7 linked regions of the Kluyveromyces lactis genome follow. The protein of the gene in region 5 binds, or shares a complex with, the protein of the main gene of each other region. Links are inferred from orthologs where the notes say so. Each region holds a gene or a part of one and is shown on either strand. Other genes may lie near its edges. The genes, in order: MTC5, NUP120, NUP2, NIC96, SEH1, NUP82 and NPR3.

Region 1 (4,153 bases), about 1.2 Mb from region 5:
CTTGATTGGTGCCATATCTCATTCTCGCATTTTGTGTACCTGTGTCATTAGAGTAGAACGATCCGTGAGTGGAATGAACATGTGGCGATGGCTCGTATTCATTGTTATAAAATGTAATGATGTTTTCTGATAAAGTAGGCGGAACTAGTTTATAATTTGTTTTCTGATCTGGCCTTCCAAGCGTAGCAAAGATGCAGCTCATCATTGCAAGCATTTGAAGATTTTGGCACTTCTCAAAATACTCGAATAGTCTTTTCACTAAAAGTTTACCACCCAATGAATGCTGGTCCCAATCATAATTGTAGAAATCGTTATCTCCTCTTCCTATTAAAACATTAGAAATCATTCTCCAGCATTGCGCGATATCTTCATAGCCGTAACTTTCCGCAATGCCTGCATTGTACTTCGCAACAAATTCAGGAGTTTCCCGAAATAAAATATACTGTTCAGCTAGCTCTTTTTTGTCGGGAATCAAACTTTTAAAATCTTGAACGACTATAGATGACTTGCTTTTTTTATTTGAATCGGTGGTTTTTCCGGATACACTCGTAGTAGATTTCGTCTCATCACGGAATATGCGTGGCATCATTGGCATCCTAGTCCTTAGTGTGAGATCATTTTTCAATATATCATCCAAGAACTCAGCATAGCTATCATCACTATCATCTGAATCCGAATCTGATGATTGATTTAGTGATTCACTGGCATGTTGTGAGTTTATGGATAGCGCTTCTCTATAAGTTTTTGGCTTTCTTTGTTTTCCCGATACGTTATCCTTCAAAGTTTGTGACGCACTCTGGACATTTTTTGATCTCACAAAACCTCCAATACCAGTTCTACCAACATTGATTATGGCGTGTTGCTTTTTTTCAGTTTTATTCTCAGCTCTAAAGAAGCAAACAAGGGTTCCTTGAGCGGTCCAAACTGCTCCACAACCGTTGGGGACAGGTGTGCTATCAAATTTTGGTTCTGGTGTACTAGAATACAATTGCAAAGAACCATCCCCGACAGCGAATTCAACATCTGATACAGAAGAAATCTCTGTAGGAGCATCGCTATGATCATCAGATGAACCCAAAGATGATCTATCTAAAGAAGTTACATCTTCGAAATCAAAGCTGAAAATTTTATTGTCGTCCTCCATGTCGGAAATATCCAAGTTAACTTCTTCTCCAAGTAGGTACTGTAAACACGGCTCAAGGCAATATCGATTTGCATCGACATATTTTTTGCTGATTTCTCTTAGTCGTTCCATTATCTGAGTTTTTTGATGTTCTTTTAATTCCCTGTTCTCTTCAATCTTGAACGCAGGTTCATTTCCTTTCATGGGGTAGTTTGGCGGGAAGTTAATAATAATACGCATGAAAATGTATTTTTCTGGATCTTCTTCCACCCATGGACCATTTAAAGTAATAATTAACTCTCCTGTCGAAACCGAAATTTTTTCAAAAACAATTCTAGGGAACTTGTGCCCAACGGAAGTGACTTCTTCTCCAAGATTGTTTAAACTCACCTCTTCAAATAGATCATGCGGTGAATCTTCGTTATGCATTCTCACACCCGAAATCCATTGTAGTTGATCTATATTGTTGTCAGCTTTCCATTGGCGTAGTCCGGATTTTGTAACAAAGGTTTCCTTCGGAATTTCTATATTTGTGTACCGGGGATCTACTATATTATTTTCAGGTTCTGATCTAAAAGTGTCGTAATCATAATCTGGTAGCTTCTCCGGCAGCTCTTTGCCACATTCGTAGTGAACTTTGTCGTAAACCATATCGGGTACTGGCCATAGTCTTAAATCGCAATCTTTGGACCAAGTAACCAATTGGAATTCTCTGTCATCAATGATGGTATTTTGACTGTGCCTCGATCTCCATAAGAAGTCCGTGACTCTATCTGTATGCCCCTTGAAAACGTACGTTGGCTGTAGTTTGGTAGTCCTTGACTCAGAATTGCCTGAGTCATGAAAAGAGTTCGCCAAATATACAGAATTATTTCCTCCTATCATCGGCATGATGCAATATCCGTCCCCAAACGGGAGATATCGTCCTCTCCACACAGGAAACTCTGTGGTAATTGTCATCTGTAGTTCATCTTCAACTTTATTATAATCCCAGAACTTTACCGTTCCGTCATTCCCACTTGACATGATTTCGGTTTCGTTGAATGGATTGAAGTCGATGCTATTAACGCTTCCGCTATGACCTTCTAATACAGATAACGGAGATGTACCCTTTCTTACATCCCAAACATACACGATATTCGAGTGCGAGGTTGCTAATACATTGGAATTTTTGTGATTCCATTTGACTTGTGCAGCACCAGATCTCCAGTTACTGGTTCTAAAATAAGGCTTCTTGGGGCTTCTCATATCCCAAGCCAGGGCGTAAGTATCAATTGAACTAGTAGCTAGGATTTCTGGTTGCAACGGGTGGAAATTTATATCTGTAATGGCTCTGAAATGGCCATGTAATACATGCTCCACTGCTTTAGAAGAGCTTCTAGATAGATTCCATACAATTGCTTTTTGATTCGACGTAGATATAACCCAGTGATGCTTGGCCGGATGCGGGCACCACTGCACGTCAGCAACCTCCCAAGACGTGAGATGGTGTAACCATCGAGGCTCTGAGAAAGGATCATCCAAGTCTACCACATAAAGGCCCTTTCGACTGGCTAATACGACATCTCTACCAGATGGATTGATAGAAACAGCATTAAATCCACCATCAACCCGAAGAGAAAGTGATTTCCCGAAGGTTGGTGATGAGTAAGGACCTTCCCCTACGTATTCAGACATTCAATCTCAAAGTGTGGCTTATATCGAAACCTCTAAAAAACACGAACCTTACTAGAATTCAATATACGAATGATGTTTCCTATTGAATTGTGCTTTGTTTCATTATATATTCATGATTCATTTTTTCCTATCAACAGTTAATAATGCTTTAAGGAATATTAACAAATAGTGGATTAGACATACATAAAAAGGGGAGTTAGAAAGCTATTATTAATCATTCGTGACGTTATTTGAAGTTTAAATGTATCTAATGTTTTATCTATTCTTGGGTAACTGCATCAAAGATAGCTTTAAATGGTGGTTTTGCACCTGTCCATTTAGAAAATTGTTCCACACCTTGATGAACCAACATTTCAGCGCCCGGAACGATATTCCAGTTGAACTTATCACGTGCGAGCTTCATGATAGGGGTCACTGAAGGCTTATATGCGGCATCTAACAAGGTTGGTTTGAAGGAGCTATTTGTACCTTTTGCCAAAAGTCTTTCCAATTTGTTTAGTAACTCTGGATCTAAAGGCTTATCAGCTGGAACACAAGAAACAGCAACAGAAACTTGTTCCTTAATTGACTCTGTTTGTTCGGCAGATTCGACGACAACAATCTTATATTCTTCGGAAAATTCGGATTTCAGCTTTTGTAGTTTCTCCGTGGTTCTGTTGAGCATATAAATGGTGTCACAACCAATTTGTTTCAAAGCGTATATAGCAGCTCTTGAAGTACCACCAGCACCGATAATCAGACCTGCAGAACCACTAACAGAACTAGGAACACCATTTGAAACCAAAGAGTTTTTGATACCTAACCAATCAGTATTGTCACCCCTGAATTTGTTCTTTCCTAAAGGAATAACAGTGTTTACAGCGCCAATGGTCTTTGCGGCTTCGCTCAATTCAAACATACTATCAATAATATCTAGTTTTAATGGGATGGTTACAGCTAAGCCACCGAGATCTTCTCTGGTCAAAAGTTCTTTCTTAACTACTTCGATATCTTCAGTTTCGAATTTATCAAAATGATGAGGTAAGCCTAGTAGCTCATACCCAGTGTTGTGCAAGATCGGAGATCTGGAATGTCCAATTGGAGAACCAATAACAAAGAACTTCTTGGCTGGTAATCCACCGATTTGGTGATACAATTGGTTGATTTCAGCTAGTGTCAATTGACCAGGGGCAGCGGCGGATGGTAGTAACTTGGAGGTAACAGGTGTCAAAATATTATTTAGCACCCTGGATAGCTTACCTGTTTCAGTCATATTGATAGCAATTAGTGGCTTCAAAGTATGAGTGGACCTGAATTTTTCCAAAGCCAAATTGTCATCGAAGCTTACTGCTGTGCCAACGAACTTCACAATGT
Region 2 (4,287 bases), on a different chromosome or scaffold from region 5:
TTTTATAGCTGTTCCAATCAGTGAGAGAAACTTGTGATGATAAAATTGAAGCTATAATTTTATAATCACTCACACATAATAGTATGGATCCGTTGGAAATGTTTGCATTGTAGCATTCTTGGAGTAAAGTTGCAGTGAACATTTCACTGTACTTTTGATCACTCAGCAGTGTATAATAGTATTTTTCTCTTAGGCTTATATCAAGGACTTTTTGTTCCAACCTCAATACATCCAGGACTTCTTTATAATCGCCAAATACTATCAATGTATCTAAGTATTGTATCAACTGATCTGCTCTTGTACCATCAAGTGATATAGATTTTTTGATGGTTTTTAAAGCATTAGCATACGATGAAGCTTTGGAACATAGAACTGAAAGTTCATAATAGTATGCTGGTTTATCTTTTGTATTGATCGCATGAAGGAGATTGTACCAAACGTGATTTTCAGTAACCTCCAGATATTTAGGTAGTGAGAGCTCATCAGAGAAGTCATTTGCCAAGAATATTTCAATAGATGCATCATATTCATTGCATTTGAACAAAGAAAGAGCATATAGTAGTTCTTCTACTGGATCCTTGGACACATGGTAAGGCTTAGCAACAAAGTGTAGGAATTGCTTTGCACAAGTCAAATCTTCGCCGTTCAATATGAAATCGGAAAAGGCTCTTGTAAATATTGGAGGTTCAGCTGTTGGAGAATTCTTGACAAAACCAACCATTAATGTAGTAAAGTCGGTTATATCGCTGTAAGATTTCAATTGTGCACCATAATTGTATTTAGTAACATGACCGAAGGTCTCAGAAATTGCCAATAATTTATCTATTTGATACACTTGGAGCCACAATGAGATATTGAAGTGCAAGGTAATTAACTTAGACAACTTCTCTGCAAAAACTTCATAGTTGATATCCACAATAGTGAATACTAACAATATATCAATGATAAACTTATCCATAATGGAGAGTGTCTGCTTCAAGGATTCCATAGACAAAACAGATAAGAAAATGTCAGTATCTAATAAATCAATAACTGAAAAAGCACCTACTTTCAAATCACAGTGTATAAATTCGGATAAAACCTCCACCACATCAATAGAATTTAGATTTTCCAACAATTTTGATAAATTAGCACTTTGGAAACCATTTGTTAGACAATCTTGAAAGACAATGGTAATTTTATTTTTCAATGATAACGAGGGATTTATTGAACCATTTACCATGTCTAAGAACTTCTCAGATATCTTATTTAACGTTTCAGATGTAATGGTTGTTGAAAAACCATGCAGGATATTTAAGAAAAGCTCTAGTTGAGACGAGGGTTCCTTTCTCTCAAAAATGTTAAAGAAAATTGTTTCAAGTTGTGAGTCTAACTTATACGTGGAATGATGATACATGTGTAAGCTGTTAACAACAATTATCTCATCATCAAGAATAGTTAGAGTTGAAGGCTCCTGATATTGTTTATGAAGTTCTTTCAAAAGAGCTTCTAGATTATTCAAATAATCTTGATTATGAGGATCATTTATCTGCACCATGACATTATTTTTATTCAGTATCTTTTGTGCGTCATCGTACGTTGATTGTGAGTAGTGTGACTTGAGATTGAGGAGAGCCTTTTCCATATTTCCGTTTGTTATTAGGTCTGAGTCATCAAGCAAATCAGAGAGGTATGTGCTGTTACCATCAATCCATTTGTAGCTACTATACAGAGAGTCTTCGAAGGAGAGTAGTTGTAGCTTGGTCACTGTGTTACTTTTCCATAATAAAACCAAGTTGAGTCCCGATTGTTTGACAATTGAGGATTTTACTAATTGAATGTCAATTAAAGACCATATTGAATAAGATGAAAGATTGAGAGGTATATTAACGTTTAATGGTTTGAAGGAGATTCTTGAAGAATGCGTATTTTCTAATTGAATGACTTGGAACGATCCATTACCTGCAGGTAGGTATACAAACAGGAGAGATCCACAAATTATCATGTATTTTCCGGCAGCTCCATAATTCACCTGCTGGTTTTTCTCTTTTAGATCGAAATGCGCATTTAGTTGATATGTGGTTAAATCCCAGATTTTAATGGTTGCATCATTCGTTAATGTGACAAGATACTTGTCATTCAAAAGTTCTGCAGATACCACTGCAGAGTTGTGGTTATCGTACTTTGAAAACATTCTTGTAAAACTTTGAAAGTATGAACTATCATTGAATAGGACAGGTTGCAATTCAAAATCGTTTAATATTTCGAGCGGAATACGTTTTAACCCCAAAAGACCACCATCTTTTAGAAATACTACACTGAAGGTGTTATCAACATGAAATAGACACTGTGGAGGACGTACTGAGAAATCATACGGGTTTAAAACCTTCAACCAATTCTCAGGATACTCATTTTGACGAGTTCTCGATAGAATAAAATCGATAGGCAATGAAAGGTTGATGAAAATTCCATCCTTTAAAATCACATCAAAACATAGGTTGGAGGTCGTTTCACTAGATTCGTATACGACTGCAGTAAACCATTTGTTCAGAAGAGGTTTTGGAAAGTGGATATATATGGTTTTCCTTGCAAAAGTTTCCTTCATGGAGTAAATACTCAAAACAGTGTAATTATTACACCATTGGAAGGACAACGATTCATCAATTAATTTTAGTTGCAACAGTTTGCTGTACTCTACGGAAGTTATTTCTTCTGTAGATGATCCAACATTCCCATTGACGTATAAATGTTGGGCATTGTCTGATGAGTGCTTCGATTTTAATTGTAGTAAATTTGTATTCAGACGAGAAAAGCTGGTCATTTTTCGCAGTTTCAGCTTTACCTCTCAGCTGTTCAATAGTAATGTTGTAGGTTTATGTTCCGATTTAGCCTGTAATTGAAGTTCTCTGGTGGCTGTTCTCTTCTGTTTACCGATTCCACTTCATGTCAGATTGATTTCAACATGTCTTTTCTCATTGTTGTTGTAACCATGAAAACAATATTATCCGGGTAACTTATAACTGAATTTTAAGGTCGCTTGGGCAATAATTTCCATGTTGTGAGGAGGATTATATAGGTACTCTGGGGATACCATGTCTATAGACGATGACGTTCGTCTTGTACTGTTTTACATGAGCATTATAGATTATTTTCCTATATTTCTCTTTGAATTATAGCGGCAGCTTTGATTACTATAGCATTGCGTTCATAAGCTCATAATTTTTTCTAGTCGTATCACACCGTTATAGCCACCAGAAACGATTACAGGGGTATCATCTATGACTGTGGATGCAATGGCAATTGGTTGCACTTCAGCGGGAACCTTCTCAGGGTGTTCATAATGATTGTATTTTCTAATTACTTTACCATCTTCTTTGATTGACTTCACGAGTATTGAACCATCCTTCAAAGCGGTGACAGTGTACTCCAAATCATTGAGGAAAATCGAGGAAATAGCAGATTCTGCGGTAGAAGACACTAAAATGGTCTTCTTCTGATCGAAAGAGTAAATCAGAGTTTCTGTATCGAATCTCACAAGCAATTTTGATGTCGACCTGTTCAATGCTAATTCATTATTTGTGTGATGGAATTGGGTCAGCGAATGAGAAAGATCGATTTGTTGTAAAAGGGAGCCTTGAAAGTCGAAGATAGAAATCTTTACGTTTTGTTTTGAACTACCATTTAATATTATAAGCGATTTTTCCGTTAATCCCAACAAACAATTGAGAATCTTATTGGGGACTGAAATGACGAATTCATTAACCTTAACGATACTGGAGTCATCGATTTTAATTTCCCAGACCCGTATCTCGTTAACGAAAGTCAAAATTAGCCATTTATTTTTGAAATCTACAGATTGTAAGCCTTCTAAATCCTTGAGGCCATCCCAAGATATGACAGGGTCGCTCTGGCTTACGTTCCACAACTTGACGGAAGTTTCATCCACAGTCATAAACCTTGTTTTATTCAACCAAAAAATACCCAAGAGGTTAGGCACACAGTGAAACGCCTTGGTTGCCTTTTCATTAGAGTTCAAACTAGGTTCAATGAGCCAGTGCTTTAGTAAACCATCTGAGCCAAAAGATAGCATGTTGTTTCCGAGAAGCTTCAATTTGCTAATTGAAGATAAATGATACTGTAAGAAACGATAAGTATGGAATTTGAGCATCTCATTGGATTGTGTTGAGAACAAGGACGATGATCTTGATCGCCTTGTGTTTATTACAGTTTCGGCATCAGAAACGTCATCTCCTGGGGGTGAATTTATGACATCTTTCCAATCCCTGTTTAGAGTGATATTTGGGACAT
Region 3 (3,874 bases), on a different chromosome or scaffold from region 5:
TAATAGCAGAAGGTCACTTGAAACTTGATGCTTTCAAGCATGTTCCGTTAATGGCAGGACTCAACTCAGATGGAATAATCTTCTTTGATATTTTGCTTTTCCAGTTGTTCCTTTCCGAAGGTAAGGCAGCCGAAATAAAGATCAAACGAGATGGAAAGAAAACATTTGAGTATAACTCTGATGGTTTGTCTTCTTTGATCGAGAAAGGTATTAACATTCAGAATAAGAATGTTATTTTAAAAGCGCTAAGATGGTTTATATCTAAGCATTTTGATTATATCAAGTATATTTCAGGTATGAAAGGCTCAAAAGAACATGATAGAGAAAGTAGAAGACTGTCTTGGGCAGTTGCATCTTTCAAAAAACTGATAGAAGAGGAGCTCAAAGGTGCTGAAGATTGACTATTTTAAGTACTTTTTTTTGCCATTTTAATAGTTACACATGCATATATGAACTAAGTTCAAATAGTTCTATTAATTAACAGTTAAATGTACTTAATTTTACATCGGTGATTGAGCATCCTTGATCGCTTGTACTAATTTTCTACCATCAGCCTTTTGTTTCACTTTTACGACGTATGTGTCTAACCCTCCTTCCGCTTTAATTGCAGGACACTTAACCAAATTCTCATTATTTGGATCTAATGCTTCATAGGAAAATGACTTTATAATACTAGTATTTAGCAAAATATGACCCATACCGTCTGACCTACAAAGTATTCTTGCTTTTGTATTGTCTTCCTTGTTTTGCAAAACCTTCAATTCACCTACACCACGGGAATCATAGGCTTTCGTCTCAGTATTGAAAATCATTAGCTTGGCGCGTTGCGAAAAGAGTAGATTCTCATTCTCCTCACCGTTCGATAGATTCAAAGTTTTAGATGGCTCTTCTTGTGCCTCAGCAGATGCGTCTTCGCTGTTTTTTTCACTAACTTCCTTGGCAGTATCCTTATCAGATGTTGGAGCAGATGAGGCAAAGGGTAAAGAGATCTTGAAGCCAGATGATTCACCTTGTGGAGGCGCCTCTTCAGATTTGTTGGCACCAAAACTGAATGCTGGTACAGTTGATGCTGCTGTTGCCCCAAACGTAAACGTAGGTTTTTTCTCATCTTTTTTGTCGGTCTCCTGTTTTCCAAAAGTGAAAGGAGTGGAGCCTGTTGAAGCTTTACCAAATGTAAATGAAGGTTTAGATGACTCAGCCGGTTTTTCAGAGGTTGTTGAGGTACCGAATGTGAAAGAAGGCTTTTTAGCTTCATCATTACTGTTTTCCTTGCCCATAGCTCCAAATGTAAAGGAAGGCTTTGATGAATCTTTGTTTTCAGTTGCTGTCCTTTGCACTGGAGCAGAGAAGCTAAACGATGGTTTAGAGTCCGCCGATGGAGCAGGGGCAGAGAATGTACCGAAGGTGCTAGCTGGCTTTGCTTCTTCCTTTTTATTTTCACTTTCTTTGGCCAAATCTTTATTGTTGCTGAAAGAAAATGAGAACGGAGATGATGAATTACCATTATCAGCCTTATTTGACCCAAAGGCAGGAAGAGCTGGTTTGCTTCCCTCATTTTTCTCTATGGATGGTGCGGACGCAGAAGGAGGGAATGTTGGTTTAGATTGTGAAGAGTTCCCAAATATACTAGCTGGCTTGTTATCCGTTGGTTTTTCAGCTGGTTCAGATTCCTCTGTCCTTGAAGCATCATTCTTTGGTAAAGTAAAGGCACTGGACGATACAGTCCCATTAAACGTAAATTGGGGTCCCTTGATCTCTATCTCGCTGTCGCTATCGCTGTCAGGTTCCTTACGCTTATTCCCACCGAAGCTGAAAGGCGGATCAGACGTCGTTGGTTTCTTAGCCAAGACAAACTTTGGGCCTTCAACATTAACGGCTGGTTTTTCCTCTTCAGAATCACTATCGCTGTTAATCTCAATTTGTTCTTTTTTATCTTGCAGTCTCTCTTCCGTTACGGTCGTTGTCGGTTTAGTCACCTCCGAAGGTAGAGCAAATGATGGTGCTGCGCTAGGCTTTGCGAATGCAAATGGATTTTTAGGTTTCTCCACATTTGCTGATGTGGTACCAAATGTGAATGAGCTAGTTGGAGGAGCGTTTGCAGCGCCATTAGTTTTCGCTTCTGACCTTAACTGTTGCGAATAGGTCTTGTATTTATCGAACAGGAAAGAAATATCAGCAACTGGATCTGATTCCAATGTAGAATTTATTTTATTTTTGAATTGCACGTTCAATGCCGTGAGTTTTTCGTTTAAGTCAGTGCCTTGAGGTTTCTTGTCATCCTTTATCACTTTGAACATGTTAGGTTTATCACCCGCAGTAAATCCTCCCATTTTCCTCTTTGGCATTGCAATTTTTCTGGTACTCATTACAGATTCGCTGGCAACGGCAGGTTTATCAAATGGAGTCTCGTCATCTGAAACATTATTACTATGTCCGTTCTCAAGACCTTCTCTGGTCATCTGAGAACCCGCAAATCTCTTTGACATATCCTACAGTGAGTATTGTGCTTGGAAAGATCAGCTCAAGAGAAGTCACTTTCTTAATCAGAAACGAATTGAACTAACGGGAAGCAACCGGAAGTAGCAGAAAAGGAGTTTAAGGATTGCTGATGTGTAAGCATTCAGACATCAACATGAGAATTGATGATACTAACACCAGAAATAATAATAAAGCAGCTCGAAATTCTAAATCCTTCAATATACTGTTGACTCGTGTGGGATGACTTATGCTGAACACGTGACTACATGTTATTCTGCTTGTGATGGGTTGCTCAGGGGAGTAAAAATGTAAAAAGTATTTAGCGAAACTTTCGAATCGCTTTCTCCTCCGATACCGGGAGTCGAACCCGGGTCTCCACGGTGAGAGCGTGGTGTGATAGCCGTTACACTATATCGGAATATAAAACGTTGTTATGCTTTCAGGGATTATTTGCAATAGCCACCGTTATAACCGACACACGTGCAATGATTTCTTACCTCATTAGTTGACGCAGGTGGCAAGTACGATGGCCGTAACACCATGTAGGACTTGTTGGTGTAAAACTTGCTAATCTATCAGATGAAACATCTGTTTTATAGCGCTCTTATTTTTAATGTTGTATTACGGGACTGTTTTGTTGGATCCAGACACCACGTTATATATCCGAAAGTTGAACTTTGTATATTTTCTCATGCGTTATTTCCTTCCTAAAGAGGAAATTATCTCCTTTCCAAAATGAGTCCATTTGTCGCAATCCTCGTTATCCTGCTTCACTTTCTCTGCTTCTCCGGTAGGAAGAGGAATACTTTGCGTCCTGGACAAACTCACTTCGGATTGAATATTCATTTTTTGATTTACATTGAATTGCAACTTAGAGATATTAACAAGTTGTTTAAAGTAGCACCTTGATTATTATAGGGTTATTTACTTTTGAGTTCATTCAAGAAGAAACCAGCTAAGGGAATTTGAACGTATGTGCCGTGTACTAGCAGTGGTTACTTATTTGGAATAGCACTTTTGGGATTACGATGAAAGAGATAACAAAATAAAACCAGCACGAGGTCTGATATCGAGGATTATACAAGAATAAGATAGATATATGAATCAGGAAGAGGTTCTAATGTTAATTTATTGATAGTGATGACAAATGAAACAACACCAGTTATACTGAAACAACATTTACCAGAGATATTTTGTGGACGGATTGATAATTTTCTCTCCAACATTGTATTGATCATCGTACTATGGCATCAGGATTAAAAGTGTACTGAATAATGCAGCTTTTTGTTATTTGGTGATATAGCCCAATGGAACTGCCAGCAAATATTTCTTAGGAAACCAGATTCTATAATTTGGGTGAATTTGCTGGAAAGTAAGGATTCATTCAAATTGACAA
Region 4 (4,090 bases), on a different chromosome or scaffold from region 5:
TTCTTGTACATTTCGTTGCATCTTCTACTCACTACAACAATGCACTGCTGAAAAGGTAATTGGCAGTTCAAATGTATATATATACATATGCATATATAATCTATCAGGCAATTATATCGAATAACAATCGACTTACACATGGTTATTTTATTGTATGCTATTATGGTAGGACGTCTGGGTTCTGACATAACTCAGGTGCTCATAAATGAGAGCTCTGCTACAAACCAACTTCTATATTGATTAATATGCTGTAAGTTTCTCTTGGCATTTTGTATTGAATCATACCAGCATAAATCATACAATTTTTAGCAACACGTTTGAGAGAATCGATTTGCTGCTTTTTAGTCAAAGATTGGTAATCACTTTCGTTCAACTGCTTTATGATGTTAGAAATGCATAGCATTGTAATTATCAACAGGTTAGGTATGTTCTTTAATATATTCTCATCCAAATGTGTAAATTCTTGTGCTCTTTTTCTGGTCGAGCTTTCATCCGTGAACGGAATTAAATCGAGATCTTCAATCTGTTGTAGGGTGTTTTGCCATTGGCGTGCTAGGAATGATGCTCTTATATCAGCTAGTTTCAACAAGACAATACATGTTTCTTTGTTTCTTGCCTGAACCTTTTTAGAGATTTCGATGTTGTTGATGTACACTTCGATTAACTTCTTTGCCATTAAGACGTAATTCGTTTCGCTGTTGTCATTCAACCTAAAGAGGGATTGATTGAGGTCAGTGCTACTTAGAAGTTCTCCCAATAACTTGTTGATAATGGACATAACAATGTCATATTCTTCTGATAACTGGTACAACAACAAACTATCATGAATTCTTCTTTCTTCATCAGCCCTACGAGCAGCCTGTTCGGTAATCTTATACAAAAAGTCCTTCTGGTCCTCAAGCTGTAATAATGGGCGTCTTTCTTCAACTACACCGGGGATCCTAATTCCTTCAGAGTTGATCTTTCCGAGAAGTATGGTGAACTCTTTAGTTTCCAAGATCAATTCCCTGAGTGCCTCATACGCCCATTCAATCTGCTCTTTCTCATTCACTAGTGCGATGAGAATTAGATATTCGACAGCTATTCTTGGATCAGAGTACTTGAACGACTTTGTGTAATTTCCTAATACCTTAACAAAGTTTATCCTTGTTTGGCCATCATTCACGGAGATCAACTCATCCTTTTTATAAGATGACACATGTAACATGCCATTTGCCGCTAGACCAATTGCCAAGTGAACAGCATCGATTTCATTTATTTTGTATGAGTACTGTACTGCTAGTTCATATTGTCCGCTTAACAAAAGGGCCTGTAGATAATAGTTTTTAAACATGTACTCACCGTAAGAGACAACAGTATGTTGGAAATCGCTGAGGGTATACCTTTCATATACTGGATCATCCATATCCATATCATCTTTGATTAACATCAAGTGAATCCATAACCAATCTTCCACGCTTAGAGTAATAGAAGAGATATTCTTCCTTGTCAAATCACATCTGCCAATAATTTTGTAGACCGCCAAACGGAACGGATCGCTGTCCAAAGTGTTTTTGATATGCTGGTTATATTCTGTATGCAACCTTGAGACAAATTCCTGTGGAAGACGATGATCAGGAGACGTTACATAAGCTTTGAAGTATGTTAGGAAAGATTGCTCCACTTTTTTGAAACTCAATTTGTTGTTAACAACTACTTCTAGCGCGTCCTGCGGTAAACCAGCCCTTAGCAAATAAAAAATCAAGGCCCATACGGGAATTCCATTCACAATCGTAAGATTGTTAAATTTCCAAGTATTTTCACCAGTCTTCAGTTTGAGGTCAATAAATGCTCTAATTTTGTTAACATTGGTCGGTAAACCTTCGCTTGGATTCTTTGAATACAAATTGTCAACATAGCTCAAGAACTGGTTTTCTAGGTATTTTTTGGAAAACTCAACAATATTTGGGGATTGATTTGTTGCATTATCTATAATCTCCCAACCGTCAAGTAGCTGTCTATACTTCGAGTCGGTCGTATTCTGAAAGATGGCAATGAACTCTTTGGTTAATTGAAAATCGTCATTATGTGATTGTCTTGAATTGTTAAACCTGTAAATAATTTTGGCATATTTCTCAAACTTTTCTCTAAGGATGTGATTTCCATTGACATTTGAATTTAAATCACCATCCAAGATACCACTACCAGGTGGTTTCCCCCAAAATATTGGACCGTTGGGATCCAAAGGAGCCAAATTAGTCGTATCGTAGTTAGAACTATCCTGACGTTTCTTGACTAGGATCCCAAAGCTTTCTCTTACTTCATCTTTCCTTTGCTTCCAATCTAGGTTGAAGTTCTGATTAATGAAATTATCAAAATCCTTCGCTGCTAAAGACAATGATTGTTCAATGGAGGAAAGGATATTCTCATCCTTCTTAATATGTAAATAAGTGTCCAAATCACCATCGTTATAGCCTTGTGCAACCCGTTGTTCGGTTAACAACTCTGATGACTTAAGATTCTTCAAGGAACTCTCAATTTCGTGAAATTCAAGTCCACTTCCTGCTAAGAGATAATGAGCTTTTGTATGATTGGAATCGTGAGGAATTGTCTTACGCATCTCCTGTGCCCTCTTTTTCATCTCATTGACACTCAATAAGATAGCTCCAAGGTCAGATGAAGTAGAAGGTAAGTTCTTTGACGTTTCTAAAAGCTCATTGAATAATTTCGATGAGCTCTTAGACGTGGAGCCACTAGTCTTTGCATCGTTTTGAAATGCAGATAGCATTGTATCACTGCTGATTTGACTGTTGATATTCATAGTTCCACGATTGTGTGGATTTTACAATTCCAAAATCTGAACGGGTTAAAGATAATTTGATGCGATGGATAGCAACAATGTGTATTGATTTTCAAAGTATCTTCAATGAATTATTTCCATCATCTATTCAACGTATTGATAGTTTACATTTTCTTTTATTGTTTTCTGTCTAATTTTTTTTAACTACAATGTTTTGCACCGTTACCCGAACATGTGACGGGACAAAAAAATGGACAGCCAGAAATTGATCATGACAGTAATTAATATTAAAACATAAGTATGTATGTATTAACTCAAGAGAAAATAAGTTAATTATATATTGTAATCTGGAATTGATGATTGCCAGAATCTTTTGATTCCTGTGGTCAGTTTTTGTAGAATAGAAAATGTTGTTTTGGTTACCATTGAAATGTAGGTTTTACTTCGTTTAGTTCAAAAAAAGAGTTGAATGAAATGAAAAATTGATTGTGGTCGTTATACGTTGATGATGCTGTGCGAAGGACAAAGCTTAATCGCAGTACATGTTGACATATTCATCAACAGTTAAGTTTAAGAAACCGTCATCTGTACTTGCTTCCATTAAAGCTTCCACCTTTTCAATATCGCCGGCGAAATGTTCACGCAAATGGTGGTAGAATTTCTGCATCAATAGTGGGACACCTTCCTTTCTTCTTAGTCTGTGACCGATTGGATATTCTACGACCACTTCATCTAAGACAGTCCCATCATTCAATTCTACTAACAAAGCGTTTGGGATTGATCTCTTTGATGGATCATGATAATCCAAAGTGAATTGGTCATCTTTAGTACAATACATCTTAGCTCTCAATTCGTCAATTTCAGGGTTGCTTGCTACTTCATCACTGTAATCGTCAGCCGTTAGTCTACCGTAAATTAATGGAATAGCAGTCATGTATTGAATACAATGATCTCTGTCAGCATAATTGTACAATGGACCCTCCTTGTCAATAATTCTCACAGCGGCTTCTTGAGTTCTAATTCTGACCTTTTTAATGTCTTTGTAAGTTTTGCCCAACTCTGCCAACTGTTTATTCACCTTAATAGCTGCTTCCACTGCCGTTTGAGCATGGAATTCTGCTGGGAACGATATCTTGAAAAGAACGTTTTCCATCACATAAGAACCGAAAGTGTCCCTTTGCTGGAAGGTGAATGGTTTACCTTTGAAAAGAACGTCATAAAAACCCCATGTCTTAGCGGTTAGTACGGAAGGAATTGTACCTGGACTTCCATTCTTCACCAAATATGCAATGTTGACAGCTCTTGCCACTG
Region 5 (2,731 bases):
AGAAAGCAGAAGTGCTAAGGAACGGAACCAACAATCAGGAACAGCAACGGAACGACAGATTTATCGGCCGGACGATGAAGAACTGTACATTCTGGTAACGGCGTTATAACAGTACTGTAGGTATATCATATAAGATTTTATGATGACACCGGGTATATCTGCATCCTATAAGATTTATAGATTAGTAAACTGTCAGTGTTTATTGCTATGTGTCAAAGCATGCGGAAATGTTCGTTTCTGATGCAATGTATTTCATGTGATTACAAAGCAACGGCTGGATGTGTGCAATTTGGGGCTTAGAACTTAGAATTGATCGGTACATGATAAACTCCAAGCAGGTGAGAAGACGGCTTTAAACCACCAATGTGGCGTACCTTTTAGCTATAAGGTTTCTATTTGTCAGTGTTTAGATTGAATCTCGAACCCTTGATGATATCTGGTCACGTGGTCAATAATTACATACATTTTAACATCACATTATGAAGGGATATATACATAAATCACCTTGCCGCTTGTACCACACTCATACACCTGAACTCGTTCGAGTAAGATGCTTTCCATAACCGAATCTTACCATCATCTCCGGTACTACTTAGGATTGTACCTGTGAGATTCCAAGATACGGACCATACCTCGCCCTGATGGTCTGAATGTTCGCTGATCAGCTCGACGTGAAGGTTAGCCACTGATCCATCTGCATCAATGGCGGAGCTGTCAATGGGTGGGCCATCACGTTCTATGTTTGCATTGTTATCGTTTTCTTCGTTTATAATATTCGTACCGTTGTTACGCGATTCGGTTACTTTGAATATTCTTAATTTCCCATCTTTGCAGCCCGTAGCGATCAATTGGTACCACCTGCCCACTGATGGTGCCCACGCAATGGATCTGATTAATCCAGTGTGACCCTTCAAATGTCCTGCTGGGACCAATTTTCCCTGTTTGTTTCTTTGGTAGATAGTTGCCTGATCCATGGCACTGATAACTAATCTTTCTGTTGAAAATCTGGAGGGACACCAGGACAGACAAAAATCCGATTGTAGATGTGATGCAGGTGGAGTATTTAAGACGGTAATCTCGCTTGTCAGGGTCCATGACCTAAGATCGGAAGACTCTAACGCATCATAAAGACGTAACTTACCATCATTCCCCAATGCAGCTAGCCTTAGTCCCAAATGCGATGGAGCAAATTTTACGCTGAACAACGGTCCTGTCGCATCGTTCAACGTACAAAGTTTTTGCCAACGCTTTCCGGATAACTCAAGGGCATCTGGATCCTCCTCCCATAGTTTGATAGTCTTATCGTATGAGACACTCGCGATGATACGACCAAATTCTGGTGCGGCCCAATCAAGAGACACAATACTGCTATCGTGAGCCTTCCAACTTTCGCTCAATTCCCACTCATTCGTTTCCTTGTCTAGCTTGAACACCTTGATATGTTGGTCGCTGGAACATGTTGCGACTCGACGACCGTAAAAGTCATAACTAATATCGTGCACTAGGTCTGAGTGTCCTGTCAAAAACGGTTTCATGATGATAAAAGATTTTATCGGATTTACCACTAGATTGGTCGATAGAATAACTTCAACCTTCAAAGCCGTGAAGTGTAGATATCTCTCAACTCAGCTCAACTCTCTTTCCCTCTATCATGCAACTTTTAGCTTTCGTTTTCGAAAAGTTCGAAGTTCAATGTTTAAAGGATTCATATATATCGAAAATCAAAACACAATAATTTAAGAAAGCGCTTGGCATTTTAAATGCTAAGCTAAAAAAGTGCTTACTGAAGCTTTATATATAGCCAGTACCAGCTCAGGGAATGAACCATGCTTTCTTATTTTTTGCTACTGTTTGCTATTGCAATAATTGTATATTTTAAAGATGTATCTCCTATCGGATCTGCAGTAGGGTTTTCTGTAATTGGCTACGTGGCAGTTGATGTATTGATCCCACAAGTAGGTGATTCCTTCATCAAGATTGGTTTATTTGGCAAAGATATGAGTAAACCTGGTAGGCCAGTGATTCCAGAAACAATTGGATCTGTATCTGCTACAGTGTATTTGTTTATCATGTTCTTTTCGATTCCTTTCATGTTTTACAAATATTTGGTGATAACCTCTGGAGGTGGAAATAGAGATCTGGTTTCTCAAGAATCGACGGAGGAACAGCTATTCCCACATAGTAAGTTAAGTGAATTTTTAAGTGCACTTTTATGTCTTGAATCCACGATATTACTAGGTGCTGCTGACGATTTGTTTGATCTTCGCTGGAGACATAAATTCTTCCTACCAGCAATTGCTGCGATTCCATTACTTGTAGTCTACTATGTTGATTTTAGCGTTACCCATGTTTTGATCCCTAAGTTTGTACAAGAGTTAATTGGTACAAGCAAGACATCCATTGATTTAGGCGCTTTCTATTACTGCTATATGGCTTCGGTCGCCATTTTCTGTCCAAATTCAATTAATATATTGGCTGGTGTCAATGGACTTGAAGTTGGGCAGAGCATTGTCCTAGGCCTAATATTTATGATTAATGATGTGTTGTATTTAACTATGGGTGTGAACGGACATGCTCGTGAATCACACCTATTCTCACTTTTATTGATCGTCCCATTCCTCGGAGTCTCACTAGCATTGTTCAAATGGAACCGCTGGCCTGCAAAAGTATTTGTCGGTGATACTTACTGTTACTTCGCTGGTATGGTTTTCGCTGTAGTCGGTATTCTTGG
Region 6 (4,029 bases), about 490 kb from region 5:
CTAAGACCAGCCTTTGTCAGGTTGAATCAAATTAGAACATTTCAAGAAAGAAGAGCAGGTCCACCACCATTACCAAAGGAAGACCAGGAAGAGTTTGAAAGGCTGCAGAAGCTAGCGTCTTCTCAAGAAGCTATTGATTCTTATAATGCACAGTTTGAATCGGATCATACTATGGAATCGGTGAAATCGCCAATCTTGAAGAACGATATTGGTGGGTTTTCTCCAGAATTTATGAAGACTATACCAGAGTTCGAAGGCGAAAAGAATCCTAAAACAGGAGAAATTGGTGGACCAAAGCAGGATCCATTAAGGCATGGTGATTATTCTTTCAACGGAAGAGTCACCGATTTTTGAGCGCCATTCACACGTTAAAACAAAATTCGGTTAGTAGCATATTCACATAATGAAATGATATAAAAAGTAGCACATAATATAGTAAGGTATATGCCAGTTTTAAAACTAAAAACGAAAAAAAAAAGATATGTAGATGGTGATTGCTATTATACCGCTAGATCTTCAATGGATGCGCTTAACTCATTCATACAAGAATTGATGACCTTTTTGTCGTTCAGTAACATTTGTTGTAGGGAACTAAATTCTAGCTCGGAAAAGAAATCGTCTCCTTTAGTAGTTGATCTAAGCTGTGTGTCCAAAAACTCTAGTTCTTCGCGAAGTTTGTTTGTCAGATGTACATAGTTATTGAACTTTAATACCTGGTTTTTGATACTTTTGAACCACACTAGTTCGGCCTCGCTGATACTGCTTGTTCTTAATTTCTCGTTATTTTCTATACTGGAGAATGTCTCTTTTAACTTGTCAAGTCGTTTTTCCAACGTCTTGGACTTTTCCTCATACCTGGAATATCTTTCTTGGAGGTCTCCCAAGTTTCCGTTAAGTTTATTTCTCAACATTTCGATCTCGTTGGTTTTTCTTAATTGGCGATGGAGTTCAGCCACTTCTTCGTTGGATTTGTTGAACATTCTAAATAAAATCATCTGTCCCAACTTGACGCGCTTCATGGTTTCCTTGTAAAGTTCAGAAACCACTTCCAATTGACGTTCATTGGAATTGTTCTTCAAAGGGAGAGGAGCCAAAGAGTCCGGTATGCCTGAAATGAATCCATTGGCTTCTGTTTTATACTTCGTCAAAAGCATATCCAATTCCTTTCCAGACGTTGGCAACGATGGTTTATATGTATATTTCACTTCATCGGTTCTGTTTATGGGTTTCTGTGTGGTGCTCTTGTCGTTACTCTCGATGACCTTGAAGGAATTGCCGTTGTAAAGAATATCACCAGACAAGGTAGATAAAACACCGAGGAAAGTTCCTGAAACTGTTCTTATTTTATTTTCAAACTTAACATCATCAATGATAGAGAAGTCATGAAGCCTTATGCACTGTGCCAATGGTTCCAACCATGGCATTTCCATGATAGTCGTGGAGCTATCACCAGTAAATACTAATTTAGGTTCCGAGGAGTTTAGTAGTTGGCATTGACCTTTTGCATTGAACATTGTTATTACACTAAGGTTATTGAATGTAGTATTGGAGCGTAAACTCCAACTCATGACAATTTCAGAATCGGAGAACAACACAACGTTTGTTCCATCTATAAATTGAAGATTCAAAAGGCCCAAACGTTCTCCAACCGGTATGATTGTCAAGCCTGTGACCTCTTTCGCATTCAAAGCTGTCGGAAATTTTTTTATAATGAACGGGCCCTGTGGTACAGAGTTCCTGATTGCTTTGCTCGTGAATGTGTCTATACCATCATTTTTTTTATAGTTGTCGAAAAATTGAATTTGTTTCAATAGATCATGCTTTAAGGTGAGGTAATCGGATTCCACATCAGGATCTGAACCTGATATCAGCTTTAGCTGTTTATCGAGGCTATTGTATAAAGACAATGATTTGTGCAACATGTAATCCGCTAAAGAACCATTTTTCGTCCTTGATGTGACATTTGATGTATCATTACTGCGTAGGGAAAAATTCTTTGGTAGACACGGATGGATAGCATATATGTCACAGTAATTGAAGGAGCTCAGCAGATAAAGTGTCAAACCGGTTGGATCAAATGCAATGTCACAAACTGATTCCACATGGTCTGATAACCCAAATGATCTCGATTTACGATTGAAAACAGTGATAGATTCGGGTTCTAGGTCTTCAAGATCATAAATTCGAATTGTACTATCATCATGCAAAATAACGAAAGATAACCCATAAGTAGCCAGAGGATGCCATAATAGTTTTTTTATCCCTAGACTGGTATTGAAATGCTTTCTTAATCTAGATTGCTCATTCACTTCCATGACATAGAGCTCGCTGTTCGCATGAAATGCTACAAGGCCCCCCGACGGACTGATGACCATTTGTTCTGGAACGAATGGAAGCTCCACATTATAACTCCTGTATTGCGTTTCGTGGTCTGATTGCACTCTTAAGATGTTGTCCTGCCATAAATAAATAGTGTTGGAATTGTTGCAGACAAGACGGTCGGAAGGGTTCAGAGACACTTCCTGGAAGATTGCCTTCAAATCTTCTGTATTGAAGAGTAACATCCCACTATATTGGTTCAATATCCGGCAGTTAAAGTTATGGAAGAGAAGGTACCACAGTTAGATCGCCAGTTGATCTGTGTTACGTGTATTTCAAGAAGCGTGAGAGTAGTTCATCGTCGATATATTTTGAATATTTTGAACTTTAATAGTAAAAAAAAAAAAATACCTATAGCAGATCCAGTATTGCAGAAAAGGAAGTGTACGAAAGATATCAAAAAGTTATGTTAGATATGTGTCTTTATGTCATTTTTATATGTATATATATTTACAGGCGTGAATCATACTGTGGGTCCGTTAAATCTTTGCTAAGAAGTTATTTTGTTTGATGTTGGCACGGTTGGCTATCCTTAATTGTTTTTTTCTTAGCTTGATTGGATCAGCTGCTAGTTTTTCAGCTTGGACGTTGGCATCAAGCACTGTCCAGAGCCATTCAGGGTATTCGCTGTCTTCTAATGCCACGGGTTCCTTACCGGATTTCTTGATTTGTAAGTTCAATGGAGTGCCAGCTGGACATGATGACACGATCTTGGCAGCTTGGCCAGATGCCTCGCTTTTCACTTGGTTAAATAGCACGCGAGTCACTCTCAACATTTCTCTCTTTATATAATATGAAAAATAACCGATTTGTTATGGTGGGTATGTGGTTGCCGATACCAATTCGAACCTCAACAATAAGTTTTGGCAAGTTTGTCCTGCCTTGCGGCTATCAAAGTTCATGATCATTTACAGTCCAATTTGAATTTCTATGGTACAAAATGTTGATTTTATCGAAATTTTTCATTCAAAAACTAAGAATTCACAAAACGCCAAGCAGGGTAATGGCGAAATCCATGACGACATTATAGAGGGACCAGGCCGCGTAGTAGCATAGTTTCGGGCTAAACACGGACCAAATGAATAGGTGGTACCTTAGTGCAATGCACGCTATCATTAGACATGTTCCGGTGATATAGTAATGCTGCAAGCGTAGTGTCTTCTGTTTGTAGCTTTGAGGAATTAGTGAGAGAGCCCAGTAGATGGATGGTGCGTAGTTAGACAAGAACATTAATACACCAACAACGTATATGTTATAGTTGCTACTAACACCATTGTATGCATTAGTTAGATTGACAGTTGCAATGGAGTTCGTACCACCAAATTGGAAAAAAGTGAGGTTTTGTAGACATAATGAGAAAATTGGTGTGATGTCCGGTGTGACGCTAGTCAGTATTTCAAATATTAGAAACAATGGGATATTTGCAGATGAAGTTTGGAGCAACAAGACGAATTTTATAACACTCAGTAGTTTGTTTAACATATTGGTGCTTTTATTCAAGGCGTATTTCATGAAAAGAAGGATTATAATAGATACACCACATATTTGGAAGAAAATCCGAGCGATAGGCACTAAACATTGTGAAATATCTGATTCTGTAGCATTTTCATTAGCTAGATACATGGCGCATGATCTAAGTGCGAATGTGTA
Region 7 (4,103 bases), about 1.0 Mb from region 5:
AATAAACTTAAGATATCATCTTAAACTTTACATGCATGGCATATATATATAGATATGTTTTCTGTTCGAGCTTCTCCGGAATTACAAACTGTTATGGTTACAACATGCAAAACAAAAAATATAAAACACAGTGAATTGATTAGTTATGACATAAAGTTATGCAACTCCAAAAATGGCTTATTATATAGTACTTAATTATTATGCATTGACAAAATCCTGTGCGTAGAATCGATTAGAAGAATAACAATGTAAGGGGATAGGGCATTTACCAGTGTTTTACTTCAACGATGTACTTACCTAAGGCCTGAAGCAATCTTTTTATCTCATTTTTAGGAATACCTTCCTTAATCATAATGTACTCCAAAGAAACCTTCCCATTAAAGTATTTCACCACTTGTCTAAATAGCGTTTGAAGATCAGTAGGTAATGCCTCAGCACATTTGTACAACCATCTCTTTTCTAATGCAGTATTACGTTCTGGTTCAAGAATTATAGTGAAATCATTATCGTTGATCATCTCCAAATCATCAAACTCACTGGAGTTATAATTTTCACCTCCAGTAACAAAATTACCGGACTTTTCGTGTTTGTTCGATCTTAAGTTATCCTTTTCTAGATCCTCATCGACAGCTATTTTAATGCGCTTGTCCACACGTACATACACAAACGTCAATAATTGAGTGAGGTATCCGTACCTCATGAGCCATGCCAGGGCATTCAAATACATAGATTTATGTTCATTGGATGGTATGATATGCCCGAAAGGTCTGGGTTTCTGGGTTGACATAAGTTGAAGGAACGATGGCAAAGAAGGTAAGGAGGGAAATTTTTCATTGAATACCTTCTTGTTTTGGTATATCAACGACGGTTCATCGTTGTTATTCACAGGAACTTCTTGTTGTCTTATTAAGGTGTCGTATTCGCCATGTTTGAAGTCATCAGTTGAAAATCCTGAGATTGGCGCCAATGGAGAAACTATATATGTGTTTCTCGATGATATTGGCAGTATCAAACGGGCGTGACGCCAGTATATTAAATGTAGACATAACGACTTTAAAGTAGTTTCACAGAATTGATCATCATATGAGGAATCATTAGAATCGATTAGCTCTTTAATTAATAATTTATATTGACCAAGCCTTATAGTGGGCTTCAACTGTCTTACAAGGTTGATCAAAAGTAAATCAGTAACGCCGTTATCAAAGGAAGCGTTTTCAAGCCCTTTTATAATATTTTCAGGTTCATCGAGCAAAAGCAATCCATAATCTAGAAGCCTGTCGTGGTTGGCATACAAATTATCTGAATCTTCGTTTGTCAAGCTAGTGCTTCTACCAATAAAACTTTCGTTTAGTATTGAGGATAAGAAAGATCCACGAAGAACAGCATCTTCTTTTAAATTTGGAAGAATGGAAAATTCATTTTTGATTGGAATCTGCAAGGAAACAATTTTATCACCATCAATTTCAAGATTAGCAATTTCATTGTTATGGATGCAATTGAAACATTTTGTTAACGCTCTAGCTAGTGACGATTCGTAAAGAATTCTTTCATACATATATTTTCCTTTAGACCAGGGAGATTTTAAAGACTCATAATATCGAGAGTGTTTAGAAACTTCGTCCTTACACTTCATAATTTTCACGCATTCCCTAGTGACATAACCGGTTTTTCCTTGTATGTACCTTAAAATCAATGATAATCTAGTCACCACGTAATGATACATATCATCGACTCTTTCATTATATTCTATGATCTTTGGGTTCATGATGAAGCAGACCTGGAACATGTTTATACTCTGCTGCAAACTTTCGAATTCATCATTTTCCGCATCAGGCACACAGTACATTTCATTAAGCATTTCTGATTTGGATGGTTCATAATCACTATTCTCATCATCTGCAGGTTCTTCAACATCATTAATGTGTCCTTGACTCTCTGTTTTAGATCTGTTTCGACCAATACTATTTCGACCAACACTATTTCTACTAATACTGTTTCGTGCAGTGCTACTTCTAGCCGAACGTTTGGAAGCTTGCTTTCTCTTCTTTGATTTCTTCCATCTTCCTTTGTGATCCGCGTGAATTGGCAACCCTAAGAAACATAAGTCATCCACAGTGAATTCAAATCTGGTGTTACACATCTCCTTTCTTGGAGAACAGAGTTCAGCTACAAATTCTGTATTGAAATTTAGTACTTTTGAGATATCCTGAAATGTATCCTGCTGAAATATTGAACCATCTAGCAAATCGTCTACCAAGATTTTCAACTCTTCATCTACTGCATCCAATTCATCTTCTGGTCTCGGATCAGTCGTACTAGACATATTAGTCGATGTTCTAATCGAGTGCAACGATTCCCTCAACGAGTTTTCGCCATTGATTGCAACATTGTTATTATTCTGATTTAGCACTTGAAAGAGTTTATTCGCACTAATCTGAGATTGACGAGATCGTAGACCATTATTGATAAATGTATTGTTTGTACTGCTGTTTACAGTATCCTCATGATTTGATTGTGGAAGGGAGTCTAACGATGATTCTGATGCATCAGATGAACAATCTGCATAGTCAGTCGACAACTCGCTATCACTCAAACCTGAAGAGTAGTCATCTGAAGACGAATTGTTTTCAGAGTCCGTATACTCGTATCTTTTCTTGATATCTGGGTGATGCGTCTTCTTCGAATTGGTCGCAGTAGCATAGTTGCTTGGTGGATAATGATAAATTAATTGTGGACCCGAATGAGTTGAAACAGTTAATGCGATTTGTACTAAGCAGGAATTCGGTAAATTCGTGGACATTGAGCTATTCCTATCTCTTGGAGCTTCATAGACTGCTGAACTCTTAGATTGAGGGAAAGATTCTTTCGAATTAGCAGTTATACCCCAGTACTTTTGTATATTAGGTGTTTTATCAGTTAATCAAGTAAAATGACTATCGTATTTTCATATTTTTCATGTGTAGATATTTCTATAATAATAAGGGAAACTATATATGACTGGAGAGACAGCACAAGTAGACACTACGAAATCTCCTTTGGTTTGTTAATATCGGGGTGTCGTATATGCTTAAGTTTTTGGAACAGTAAAACTCAAACGTTGCTGAATGTATTTGAGGGCTTTTAATTTGTCGTGTGGTGTATGTTCCTGCAGTTTTAACTTTCAAAATTAGATAAGAACAAACAGAGATTAAAATATTGTCTGCTAAGAAAGTAGGATCGCGTAATCGATACTAGAACATCTCAAAAGGTCCTGATGTTACTACTATTATTCTTGAAAGTTTCATTAAACGTAAAATATAGTGCTATTGAAATCAATTATGTATGAAGGGATTCAGAGCGAGAGAAGAAAACCGGATTCATTATCGAACCATATTGAAGTAAAATTATTTTGAGGTGTCGACAACGTATCTACCAACGATTTCACCCTTGACCATCTTGTCATAAACATCTGCCAATTCAGATAATCCGACTATCTTAATTGGAGCATGCACTAAACCTCTTGCGAAGAAATCTAGAGCTTCTCTGGTGTCAGCTCTGTTACCGACGTAAGAACCAACAATGGAGACCGATTTGACAACTTGTGTAAAGACATCAGACTTACATTTGGCGTCCCTTGGTAGACCGACCAATACAACGGTACCGTTTGATCTAACGTAATTGGTGGATTGTTCTATAGCAAATTCGGAGACAGAGACGTTAATGACACCGTGGGCACCACCGTTAGTAGCGTCAACAATTTCTTTAATCAAATCCTTAGAGACGGCATAATCGACGAAGTATTCACCACCTAGCTCCTTGAACAACTTAGCCTTTTCAGCACCGGTATCAATACCCAAGACTCTGTAACCCATAGCCTTGGCGTATTGGATAGCCAAAGAACCTAGACCACCACAGGCACCGGAAATGGCAACCCAGTCACCGGCCTTCAAGTCAGCAGATTTTAGAGCCTTGTAAACGGTAACACCGGCACATAGAATTGGAGCAACTTCAGCCAAATCGGTACCCTTTGGAATTCTAGCAGCTTGAACGGCATCAGCGGTAGCATATTGTTGGAAAGAACCATCGTGGGTGTAACCAGACAAGTCAGCATCGGGACAGTTGGA

What was found.
Region 1: SEH1 (region 5) and MTC5 share a complex: the UniProt entries of both Saccharomyces cerevisiae proteins name them as parts of the SEA complex. The link is inferred for Kluyveromyces lactis from reciprocal best matches to the Saccharomyces cerevisiae genes SEH1 and MTC5.
Region 2: SEH1 (region 5) and NUP120 share a complex: the UniProt entries of both Saccharomyces cerevisiae proteins name them as parts of the nuclear pore complex. The link is inferred for Kluyveromyces lactis from reciprocal best matches to the Saccharomyces cerevisiae genes SEH1 and NUP120.
Region 3: SEH1 (region 5) and NUP2 share a complex: the UniProt entries of both Saccharomyces cerevisiae proteins name them as parts of the nuclear pore complex. The link is inferred for Kluyveromyces lactis from reciprocal best matches to the Saccharomyces cerevisiae genes SEH1 and NUP2.
Region 4: SEH1 (region 5) and NIC96 share a complex: the UniProt entries of both Saccharomyces cerevisiae proteins name them as parts of the nuclear pore complex. The link is inferred for Kluyveromyces lactis from reciprocal best matches to the Saccharomyces cerevisiae genes SEH1 and NIC96.
Region 6: SEH1 (region 5) and NUP82 share a complex: the UniProt entries of both Saccharomyces cerevisiae proteins name them as parts of the nuclear pore complex. The link is inferred for Kluyveromyces lactis from reciprocal best matches to the Saccharomyces cerevisiae genes SEH1 and NUP82.
Region 7: SEH1 (region 5) and NPR3 share a complex: the UniProt entries of both Saccharomyces cerevisiae proteins name them as parts of the SEA complex. The link is inferred for Kluyveromyces lactis from reciprocal best matches to the Saccharomyces cerevisiae genes SEH1 and NPR3.

What each region holds. Positions count from the first base shown.
Region 1 is NC_006042.1:1,825,475-1,829,627, reverse strand, and holds the start of MTC5 (Mtc5p), read right to left. Parts: upstream 2,801-4,153; coding exon 1-2,800. Other genes in the region: ARO1 (pentafunctional protein ARO1p), read right to left, coding at 3,060-4,153. UniProt on the Saccharomyces cerevisiae protein: Component of the SEA complex which coats the vacuolar membrane and is involved in intracellular trafficking, autophagy, response to nitrogen starvation, and amino acid biogenesis. May be involved in telomere capping.
Region 2 is NC_006039.1:1,080,501-1,084,787, reverse strand, and holds the start of NUP120 (Nup120p), read right to left. Parts: upstream 2,801-4,287; coding exon 1-2,800. Other genes in the region: FAR8 (Far8p), read right to left, coding at 3,185-4,287. UniProt on the Saccharomyces cerevisiae protein: Functions as a component of the nuclear pore complex (NPC).
Region 3 is NC_006038.1:545,774-549,647, forward strand, and holds NUP2 (nucleoporin NUP2), read right to left. Parts: upstream 2,487-3,874; coding exon 501-2,486; downstream 1-500. Other genes in the region: SGD1 (Sgd1p), read left to right, coding at 1-401. UniProt on the Saccharomyces cerevisiae protein: Functions as a component of the nuclear pore complex (NPC).
Region 4 is NC_006041.1:1,253,996-1,258,085, forward strand, and holds NIC96 (linker nucleoporin NIC96), read right to left. Parts: upstream 2,801-4,090; coding exon 218-2,800; downstream 1-217. Other genes in the region: PDH1 (putative 2-methylcitrate dehydratase), read right to left, coding at 3,309-4,090. UniProt on the Saccharomyces cerevisiae protein: Functions as a component of the nuclear pore complex (NPC).
Region 5 is NC_006042.1:649,975-652,705, forward strand, and holds SEH1 (Seh1p), read right to left. Parts: upstream 1,536-2,731; coding exon 501-1,535; downstream 1-500. Other genes in the region: ALG7 (UDP-N-acetylglucosamine--dolichyl-phosphate N-acetylglucosaminephosphotransferase), read left to right, coding at 1,827-2,731. UniProt on the Saccharomyces cerevisiae protein: Functions as a component of the nuclear pore complex (NPC).
Region 6 is NC_006042.1:156,109-160,137, forward strand, and holds NUP82 (linker nucleoporin NUP82), read right to left. Parts: upstream 2,565-4,029; coding exon 501-2,564; downstream 1-500. Other genes in the region: SDH8 (Sdh8p), read left to right, coding at 1-354; MRPL37 (mitochondrial 54S ribosomal protein mL54), read right to left, coding at 2,859-3,155; mannose-ethanolamine phosphotransferase LAS21, read right to left, coding at 3,361-4,029. UniProt on the Saccharomyces cerevisiae protein: Functions as a component of the nuclear pore complex (NPC).
Region 7 is NC_006042.1:1,680,034-1,684,136, forward strand, and holds NPR3 (Npr3p), read right to left. Parts: upstream 2,801-4,103; coding exon 266-2,800; downstream 1-265. Other genes in the region: KLLA0_F18260g (zinc-dependent alcohol dehydrogenase), read right to left, coding at 3,384-4,103. UniProt on the Saccharomyces cerevisiae protein: Component of the SEA complex which coats the vacuolar membrane and is involved in intracellular trafficking, autophagy, response to nitrogen starvation, and amino acid biogenesis. Mediates inactivation of the TORC1 complex in response to amino acid starvation.